Coturnix japonica: one gene and its partner. The protein of the gene in region 1 interacts with the protein of each later gene in a pairwise test. Links are inferred from orthologs where the notes say so. Each region holds a gene or a part of one and is shown on either strand. Other genes may lie near its edges.

What was found. The genes of interacting proteins can lie anywhere in the genome.
Region 2: the proteins of TFDP1 (region 1) and E2F6 interact in binary tests that used the Homo sapiens proteins (3 or more experiments, as listed by UniProt). The link is inferred for Coturnix japonica from reciprocal best matches to the Homo sapiens genes TFDP1 and E2F6.

Annotation. Positions count from the first base shown.
Region 1 is NC_029516.1:123,726,137-123,731,464, forward strand, and holds the start of TFDP1 (transcription factor Dp-1), read right to left. Parts: upstream 3,146-5,328; 5' UTR 3,030-3,145; intron 2,664-3,029; exon of another isoform or gene 2,536-2,663; intron 2,124-2,535; 5' UTR 2,051-2,123; coding exon 2,039-2,050; intron 1-2,038. UniProt on the Homo sapiens protein: Can stimulate E2F-dependent transcription.
Region 2 is NC_029518.1:88,733,275-88,738,856, reverse strand, and holds the start of E2F6 (transcription factor E2F6), read left to right. Parts: upstream 1-1,847; 5' UTR 1,848-2,084; coding exon 2,085-2,150; intron 2,151-4,762; coding exon 4,763-4,811; intron 4,812-5,582. UniProt on the Homo sapiens protein: Inhibitor of E2F-dependent transcription. Binds DNA cooperatively with DP proteins through the E2 recognition site, 5'-TTTC[CG]CGC-3'. Has a preference for the 5'-TTTCCCGC-3' E2F recognition site.

The sequences.
Region 1 (5,328 bases):
AGACCAACCGCAGCCTAATATAATAGAGGCATCAGCTGGAAAGCTACAAGTGAGCAACGTAAGGAAAAGAAGTATTTTCCTTCAGCAAGTGGGAGGAGGGGTTAAGCGGGAGCATTATCTAGCACAGCCCTGGCTCCACACCTTCTGCAGGGCTGCCTGTTCCAGCAGCTGCCAGCACAGGACCCAGGGGCTCGCCCGGAGCCCATGTTCCCCAGCTGCAGCGTGCTGATACACGCTTGGCCATGGGAATGCCACCTCCAGACCTGGGGGGAGAGCGGCACAAACCGCCCTCACCACAGTTGTGCCACTTCAGCCCTGCTGGAAATGAAAAAGGGAAGGAAGGGGTGGGGGCATTCATCAACTATGCCATGTTATTCACCACATCTTGCAGACCGTTAGAGCGCTCGATAGGTGACACAGCAGAACCGCGGGCCATTAATGCGGTTCATCTTTCTTCCCTCAAACAGGATTTTACATATATGCAAAGGCTTCTGAAAACGGGTTACACAGTTCTTCAGTTAAGACCTCATACACTTTCTCCCTACCCTGTCCCAGTGTTCAAGCATGCTTAACATGTCACCTACAACCTGAGCCGGATTACTGCTCCTCCAAATTCAGTTTATTACTTCTTGATCTGCTCTTAGAAGACACTGAAAACACCTATTCGTTCCCACCTGTAGCATCTTCTTCCATTTCTGAAGTTTGTTGTTGCGCATGTTATTCCTCCCTTAACTACTCCCCTCCTACAGCAAAATGGATCTCTCCAATTAGGTTCTTTCTTAGATGCCTTACCCCCATTATGTCCCCACACACATTATACGACACCGATCTAACTTCCAGGTGCCAGTCCTTCACTCAGCCCATCTCCTTCCAAATGGCAGTACGAAATGGATGTATCCTAACATATGAATTACTCTGAGCTGCCGCTTATTTCACCTCCTCTTCCACCCCTCCTCTTCCATTTTTTTCCCTGCTCGTACAGCCCTTCATTCCCTGAACTCTGCTATCTGTAGCGCACTTGAACGCCCTTATCTTTTACAGGCGAGCGTGCAGTGACTACGTATTTCTGGTTGCGTTTCTGCACACCGAGATACTTTCCATATGCTTCTGAACTCCTAAAATTCCCTACAAGATTAATTTGTTAAACCAATCACTATTTCACAGTAATTCTCACTCTCCGAAAGCTACAACAGTTCACACAATAACGTAACCTGCTGTTTAGAACTGGAATTGCTTTGTGACTTGTTTGCTATTTTGTTGTCCTTTTTGGGGGGGGTGGGGGGGAGATGCATTCAAGTTTGAATACAGAGCTCTCCATTCTCTCCTTCTCAATATAGAACCGTGGCAGTCCAATTACATTAGCTACAAGCAATGAAATAGATCTGAAAGGCGGAACCTGTTCAAATGGTTCTTAAAAGAATACTGGAATGGATAAGAGCAAAGGTGTTTCTGAGGCCTGCCTCAAGGCCACCAGTCATGGCAAGGATGGCAGTGGAAGTGTATGCTGCAAGCTCCCAATGCTTGCTTTTACAAGCAGTAATCAGCATCTTTGAATGGACAGGGAAGAAAGAGTGAGGAGATAAGGAGGCTTTGCTACCCCGAACACACCAAGCAGCAGAGGCAGCACCAGCCAGCAGTGACACTCAGCTGGTGACTTCTGGAGATAACAGGACAGAGCCACCAACCACCCCAGCATCTGAACGGTGTATTCTAGGGCTTTCTGAACCCACGTCAAAGCCAACCTGGGGTGGTGTTCAATGTGAACACATCTAATGCCAATGACCAGAGAGCTTTTATGACGACAGTAGATTCCAAGGGCTACTTTGAGGAACCTGCTGCAGACCTGAAGCTGGTTTGGGGTCGGACCATCCATATAGTGAAGCACAGCCCAGGCCTGGGGTACAGCACAGTCAGGTTCACACGTTTGCACTGCCAGCTATACCAGAGCCTGACCTGCTTTGCTTCCGTTAGCAAAAACAAAAGCAAAAATATGCTATTAGCTATGCCCCTGCATGTGATGCGCTATAAATATACTTACATCTTTTGCCATGTTACCCCAGCCTAGCAGGCAATCCTCTTACAATCCTGCTGCCTGCGGGACGCTGGGACGACGATGCTATTCTCTAGAAAGCAAACACAACCACCATCAGTCAGCTCTCCACAATGAGACGAGGCAAACTTTGCACCGCCCCGATTCCCGTTGTGCTTCAGAACAGAACCCTATGGGAGAGCGCAAAGTTCCCCCCCATGCCCCGTTCTATCGAAGCGACGCCCCCGCTCACAGCCAGCACGTGGGAGCGACGCCCCGCCGCCCACCCTCACGGCTTGTGGTGGGGGTTGCACGGCACGCTCGGGCGGGCCCCATCCCGTCGGCGGGCACACGCAGGCCTCTGGGCCGCCCCCCTCCCTTCCCGCCCGCAGCCGGAGACCGCAGCCGCCGGGGCCTCCGCTCAGCGGCGGGTGGCCACGCCGATGGCGGCTCCGCGGGCGCCTCCCATCCTTCCCTCCGTATCCTGGGGCCGCAGCCGCTCGCACCTGAGCGGCCCAATGCGGAGATCGCCGGCTCCATCCCCCGCCGCCGCTGTCCCCCCAGCCCGTGTCCCGGCGCCGAGCTGCCGCTGCGGAGGCGCCCGACTGCACATGTGCGGCGGGCGGGCGGCGCGCGCGGGCCCGCGAGCCCGGCGGGAGGGGGCAGGGGCGGAGGGAGGGAGCGGGCGCCCAACGGCCGCAATGTGTGTGTATATATGGGGGGGGGCGGCTGGACGCGCTCCGTGCCGGCACGGCGGGGTGTGGGGGGGCGGCGTGCGGGCTGTCACCGTGCGGCCAGAGCACACCTGCACGGGGGGCGGCAGCGGGGAAAGGGGGGGGGGGGGGGGGGTGAACTAAAGCGGCTGTCCCTGCCCGCGATCCCACCGTCCGCTTTCTCTCTCTTCCCTTTCGTTCTATTCCCCGTGGGGATTTGGGGGGGGGGACAGCGCCGGTGAACCGGGGAATGAGGGGGAGCCCGAAAAAAAAAAATTGAAACTTACACTTTTGTGCGTCCCACCGGCGTGACGCTGCGCGCTGACGTCACGGGGTGTAGCGTGCCTTGCACGGGCACACGCGGAGCGCAGCAGCCAACCGGCCGGCACGGCGGGGGCGGAGGGAGCATGCGCGGGATTTTCGCGCTTTCCGACTCCCCGCCCTGCAACGCTGGCGGCGGGAAGCGGCGGCGCCAGGTTGATGTTCGGGCGGGCACGTGGTGTGCGGCCATCAGTGCGGTGACCGGCACATGGCGGGTGGGGATGGGCACAGCTGGGGAGCACGGCAGCCATGGAGGCATCGTCCCTGGAGGTGTCATCATCATCACAGTATCACAGTCTGGTGCGGGTTGGAAGGGACCTTAGAGATCATCGAGTCGAACCCCCGGGATTCGAGTCTCTGTGTAGCAGAGCGGCACTTCTACCACTTGCGCCACAGGGGGATTCGAACCCAGCGCCTTTGGTGTTGCAACGCGGCATTCCTACCACTGCGCCACCGGGGTACGCGGTGTTGAGGAGCTGTGTGGATGTGGCACTGAGAGATGTGGTCAGCAGGCATGGGCTCATAGTTGGACTGGATGGTAGAATCATAGAGCCATAGAATGGCCTGGGTTGAAAAGGACCACAATGATCATCTGGTTTCAACCCCCCTGCTATGTGCAGGGTCACCAACCACCAGACCAGGCTGCCCAGAGCCACATCCAGCCAGCCCTCCAGGGATGGGGCATCCACAACCACCTGTTCCAGTGCGTCACAACCCTCTGTGTGAAAAACTTCCTCCTCTGTGTCTGCCCCACTCATTGCTGTGGGTACCACGGCCACGCATTGCCCTGCACTGATAGCCGCCATGGCCCCATCTCCCCATCCTTCCTTCCTTGTGGGACATGGTAGCAGCAGCTTCTCTGCAAACAAGAATTGAGCACGTTTCAGAATGAGAACAGATTACAACTCCAAACGTCAGTTTGCTGCGACTCCACAGCGGACACAGATATGAGGAGAACGTGTTTTAACTAACCTGCAATCAGAAACCTGCCAGAGAACGTGCACAGGGACCCATTCTGATTGTTGGAAATTGAAGCCAAGCCATCTTAAGAGAGGGACCTGTGAGAGCTCCTTAAATACAGCCCTCATACCAGCTGATAAGCTTGTCAGCATTTGGCCTCCTTGGGTGGAACTATCTCCCAATTCTCAAATTTCTGCTCTATTTTAAGAAATAAAAATACAGCTTGCCACTGTAACCCTAAGAGTTTTGCCATTCCCTGATGTAGGTTGTATCCCCCAAGGCAGGATCAGCTGTCCATAGGCACTCCGGTCACTTGATTGTCCAGTTTGTCCTTTATCTGCAGAAATTGGGATTTCTTAGTCTCTCTTGGTGGCTCACCGTCCCTACCATCAAGAAGCCTCTCCCCACTGGCAGTAGTAATTACTCAATGGAGTCTGTGGGAGATCCAAAGAAACACGCTTCCTGCTCCGTGAAGCTGGTAGGCCTGTATCTTTATCTTCTGCCTGTTGTTTCCTTCAGGGCAGGGTGGGCTGCATGATTTCCAGCCTTTAAAACATCTTGCTGCTTTTCCTTCTCCTTTCACTGGCATCGCTGCCGCCTTCACTGTCAGATCAGCTAACGGTGGCTTGACTGGTACTTGCTGTTGTTAATAAGCTATTGCTGTTTCCAGCCATGCTACAAACACTGCTAGCACAGCTTATCCTTGTCACTTGGGGGTCCAGTTTCCTCTACACTCCACGTTGCCCATGTGCTGGAGCACTGCCAGGATTGCTTACGGAGCAGAAATACATTCCTTCCCTAGACAAAACCCAGGAGTGCTTTTGTGGTTAACTGTTTTGGGTTCATTCCAGCAGGCAGCAAGACCACACAAGGTTTCTCACATCCTTCATCAAACATCATCCTATAGCACTGTTTTCTCATGCGAGGCACTCCCACGTGCCTCTCTGCCCACAAAGCAAAGGATGTCCAGCTGTAAAACCAGATAGGAGGTACTGTGAGACTGCTTTCTCCTTGTCTTAGAAGATGGAAACAGGAACTCTTAAAGCTTTCATAGAGTTCTTATGTGTCTAATCAGTAATTTGGACTCACATCTAGTATCCATTCAGTTAATCCCAGGCAAAGAGACACAGAATATTGATAATACTACTTCTTTTTCTTTAATATGGACCAAATCAGAACTTATTCAGGAAAGAAATAGGATGAGACAGCCCATGGGTCACCTGGTGACTTGCTGTTTGGACCCTGGAACCAAAAGGACTTTTCACTCAAATCCTTTAAAAGGTAATCATGAAATATATATATATA
Region 2 (5,582 bases), on another chromosome or scaffold:
GGACACTGCTCCTTGTCCTATCACTACACATCACTGCAAAGAGTCTGAGCTCATCCATGTGCCCCCTGCAAATAAACCTCGATCTCAGTCTTCTTTTCTCCAGACCCATGTTACTCAGCCTTTCCTCATATGGGAGATGCTCCAGGCCCTTCATCATCTTTCTTTTTCCAGCCATATTAAGCTGAGGACAAGAAAGAAAGCACTATTACCAGAAACACATTTTAATTCTTACATTTTACAGTGTAAAAAATCACTTGGTAGCATTTAAATTCTTTATATATAATCATTATGTAGAGGTCAGAACTTTAACAGGATTTGAATGAGATAAGGAAGTTTAAACAAGCAGACATATTAATATAGGAGATTAAATTAGGAGAGTGGAACAGGCTGCCCAGGGAGGTTGTGGATGCCCCGTCCTTGGAGGTGTTCAAGATCAGGTTGGACGGGGCCCTGGGCAACCTGATCTAGTAAAGGTGTATGTTTGGTGGCCCTGCCAGGCAGGGGGGTTGGAACTACATGATTCTTGAGGTCCCTTCCAACCCGGGTCATTCTGTGATTCTGTGTGATTCTGTGATATACAAAAATATAGACAGATACTTGCATCCATATGATACTTACATGTATAATTTGTCTTTAATGCTTTCATACTTATTCACTTTTTCAGGACAATATTAGCTTTGGCTCATCTTTGCAATTGCACACATGCATCTACAGGAAAGCCCAGCTGCAAGATTTCATTTAAGGGGAGACTGCATTTGAAACCAGAAAATTTTAACGAAATCATTGTTGTAGGTTATATGAATGTTAAAACATCCCATTCAGCAAATGGAATGACCGCCCTCTGGTGGTGGGTCGAAAATCGATCCAATTGGAGAAGATATGCCTCCAGTTGAGTATAACAGCAAGAGGATAATCTTCATTCCTTATTGGACTGTACTTTCTGCTATTGAATACTTAGAGAGCATTATGTTGCCCGTAAGAAAGTGTGTGTTTTTAGGTATCAGTGATGTGTCACAGAAGCACACAGAATCACAGAATGACCCGGGTTGGAAGGGACCTCAAGGATCATGTAGTTCCAACCCCCCTGCCTGGCAGGGCCACCAAACATACACCTTTACTAGATCAGGTTGCCCAGGGCCCCGTCCAACCTGGCCTTGAACACCTCCAAGGACGGGGCATCCACAACCTCACTGGGCAGCCTGTTCCAGGGCCTAACCACTCTCCTAGTGAAGAACTTCCCCCTAACATCCAACCTAAATCTTCCCTCTTTTAACTTAAAACCATTTCCCCGTGTCCTGCTATTATCAGCCCTTTCCAAGAGTTTACTCCCCTCCTGGGAGTAAGTTCCCTTCAGGTATTGAAAGGCTGCAATGAGGTCACCCCGCAACCTTCTCTTCTCCAGGCTGAACAAACCCAACTCCCTCAGCCTGTCCTCATAGGGGAGGTGCTGGAGCCCCCTGATCATCTTTGTGGCCCTCCTCTGGACCCTTAACAAAATCTCCATGTCTTTCTTGTACTGAGGGCTCCACACCTGGACACAGTACAACAGATGGGGCCTCACAAGAGCCGAGTAGAGAGGGACAATCACCTCCTTATCCCTGCTGACCACCCCTCTCCTGATGGAGCCCAGGATCCCATTTGCTTTCCGGGCTCCCAGAGCGCACTGCTGGCTCATGTTGAGTCTTTCGTCCATCCCCCTGTGCAGCCTGTTCCATTGACCCCCACACAGCGCTCAGTGATGAGGGCACTGAGGTAACGATGCACACGGCGCTTCCGCTGCGAGAGAGCGGGAAATCCCCGCGGCACCGGATTGGTGCTCGGCCTTTGCGTCACCTTGGCCAGGTGCGCGCATGCGCAAACGCTCCATCCGCCGCCCGGCCGCCCACAGGTGGGGGAGGGTAGGAGCGGCCGCAGCGCTGAGCCCAGGCGGCCCCGGCACCCCCTCCACCCGGAGGTGGGGCGGGGATGGAGGCGCCTTTATCCCGCACGGGCCCCCAGCAACATCGGGTAGGGTTTTGAGTGCTCTGCCGTCTCATCGAAGTCCGCCGCCGGCGTGAAGGAGGAAGAGGAGGGGGCGCGCCAACATGGCCGCCGCCTCCAAGTGGGAGCGCCTGAGGCCGCTGCGGCCGGACACGCTGCGTCTGAGCGCGGTACGGAGCGGGCGGGGAATAGGGATGGAAATACAGCCTGGGAACGGCCAGAGGGCGGGGCTGGGATGGGCTGGGTTGGGGCTTGGATCCTGCTGCGGAGGGAGGGAGGGGTGTGTGGGGAGGGACGGCGCTGCGGGTTGCTGGGAGCGGGAGGACGTCAGGATAGAGCTTTTCTAATGTAGCTCTTTATAGAATCACACAGAATCACAGAATGAGCCGGGTTGGAAGGGACCTCAAGGATCATGTAGTTCCAACCCCCCTGTCTCTTTACGGGTAGAGTGGAGAGGTTTGATTTAAAACTTGGTTTCCCAGCCAAAATAGGAGTGCTTCACCACCAGTGCTTCTAATTAATGGGTACATATGACTGCAGAGAGTTGAGTGGTGGACTTAATAGAGACCCAGTACATTTTAAGCGCTAAAATCTGGAACGTGATGAAATGTAATCCCTTAAAAAGCTGTTTTAAAAGAGAAAACAGTTTCGGTTCTGTCTCTTTACAAAGAACAAGTTGACACGGTGCCAAAAACAAAAAATGCAGAACTAGAAAGAGGAGACAGAGCTGCTGGGGGCCATTGGGAAGGACAAGGAGGAGGTGGTGAAGCTGGGACCGAAGCTGGGAAGGCAGCGAAGGATGGTCGGAAAGTGGCATCGGCAGCCGAGGCCTATGGGGAGCTGTGAGGCAGAGTGGCCTCGTGAGGCTTATAGAGGTGTTATAGGCCTTGTGGGTTGGGTTTGTGTTCTGGGCCCTGTAGGGGGGATCCCAGGGCCTTCTAGAGCCTTTGTGGGGGGAGCATTCAGGAGTATAGGAGCATAGAATCACACAGAATCACAGAATGACCCAGGTTGGAAGGGACCTCAAGGATCATGTAGTTCCAACCCCCCTGCCTGGCAGGGCCGCCAAACATACACCTTTACTAGATCAGGTTGCCCAGGGCCCCGTCCAACCTGGTCTTGAACACCTCCAAGGACGGGGCATCCACAACCTCCCTGGGCAGCCTGTTCCAGGACCTAACCACTCTCCTAGTGAAGAACTTCCCCCTAACATCCAACCTAAATCTTCCTTCTTTTAACTTAAAACCATTTCCCATAGAGATCCCGTAAATGCTGTAACGGAGGAATTGGGGCCCTATAGATTCTATAGGGTGCTCCCAGGACACCATAGGGCAACAGAGACTCTTTACAGTGCCCTGTTGTCCAGGGCTCTCTCCCTCTCAGGTATTTTCTCAGACCTGAGTGCACTATTTGCAATCAGCCTCTCATCAGACTCTGGTGATGTTAAGCACCAAGTTAACCTGGTCATCTAGCTCAGGTCTGCTCCTGTGCTGTCCATGAGGTATGTAGCAAGAGCTCCACCTGCTTGTATGTCTGCAGCGTGCTGTGGGGACTGAGTGCAAGGCGTGGGGAAGGGCTGAGTGGCTGTGCTGGATGGTGACTGTACCACCTCCCTTGGTAGCCTTTTCCAATGGATCACCACTCTTTCCAAGAAAAAAAACAAACATTTTCTGGTATTGAACTTGAACCTCCCCTGGCACAGCACGTGCTTTGGGACTTTGGGAGAGCAGACTTCGGGACTCAGCTTATTCAGGCAACACATCACTGAAATATTGGGAGAGGCAGCTTGGAAAGATGAAGGGGTGGAGGCCTGTAAGGACATCATCGAGGGTGACTGGAGCTTTTTAACTGCCAAGGAAGGGTGAGTGAAGGAAAATGTGAATTTGCTGCTAAGGGGAAGAAGTGGTTTAGTGAAAGCAGACACAGATAAGGCTGGAGATGTTAGAAACCTCTGGGAATAGGCTGGAGGGATGGATCATCAAGGAGATGATCAACTTGAACAAGGAATTTGAAAATTAAGTCTGAATCCTATACCTGGAAGTGTAACTTGATGTGGTAAAGGCTGGGAAGTGAGATGTTATGGAATTATCCTGCTGAAGAGTCCTGTCCTGACCTGAGAATCTGTATGGACAGTGGGCTAAACATGAGATATCGGTATATCCTGCACTGAGGTGTATGCAGTTCTCCTTTGCTTGTCAAGTATTTGCTTCTGTGGGTGTGGGAGCCATAGTGGTGAGGCTGGTCTCTTTTCAGCAGTGCATGGGGATAGGACTAGGGGTAATGGGATGAAAGTACAGCATAGGAAGTTCCGCACGAATGTGTGGAAGAACTTCTTTACAGTGCAGGTGATGGAGCACTGGAACAGGCTGCCCAGGGAGGTGGTGGAGTCTCCTTCTCTGGAGATATTTAAGACCCGCCTGCATGCCTACCTGTGTGACATGGTGTAGGGAGCCTGCTTTGGCAGGGGGGTTGGACTTGATGATCTCTAGAGGTCCCTTCCAACCAATTCTGTGATTCTGGAGTGCTGTGTCTCATTTGGGACTGACCGATACAGGAAGGATGGTGATAAACTTGAGTGCAGCCATCAGCCATCTGTCAAAAGTGGCACATGTGTTAAGACACGTAACTGAAGGAGCATTTTAAGCCACAGCAACCCACGACTAATTGCAACTACTGTTCTTCTACTGAGTGAGATTCCTTCACATTGCTCTGTTGAGCTGTCAGTTCTCCTGTTACTGTTTGCATCTGGCATTACTTACACCTTGATTTTTTTTTTCCTCAGACACCAATGCTTGACTTGAGTTTAGATGATGACGTACCAGTTGTAAAAAGTAAGTGGCTGCATTCCATGCGTTACCCTTGAAGTATTTCATGTTCTTTTGTTGTGTTTTTTTACAGTGGTGATGCATGCTGTAAACAAATGGGAAATTGTAACATACCTAATATAGTTCTGTTGAAGCATTAGGCCGGAATATTACTTAGTGGTAAAGTCTGATAAGATATGAAATACTTTGCAGTACAAGGCACAAGTAACAGTGATGTTTTGCAGTCTTTTATTGACCAGCATCAGAGATTTTTATATGAGAGCGTGTTTGCCATAACTACTTTGGGGCTTTAAAATGAAGGAGTGGTCAGGTGTACATAAATAACAGTCTAACATTAACCAAGCTGTTGAGTGCCTTTTCTGCTCTCAGACTATACACTGGTATCTCTTGATTTGTAGATCTTTGTCATATAATAAATTAAACAGCAGCTTCACCAGTTATTAGTCTCCAAGACTAAACAGAACAGTGCAAGTTAAGTGTGTTCAGACATTACATTCTTAGACTCTGGAACCAAGTGGACTGAAATAGTCCCTGGAGGCAAGCTAACTCCTAAATTATGCCTGAGAATTATATGGGAGACATGCAGGATGGTGTGAGACAAGAAGGTGTAAAGAACTGTTTTAGCGGTGTCTGGGAGTAAGTATTACAGCTGCAGTTCTCTGCCCTGACACTACCTGTAGTTAGCCTGAGTTTTTGTTGATATTGATTTAATAGTCAGAGCTTGTGTCCTACAAATCATGTGGTGATGCAGCTATTATTACACATTAGCTATAAGCG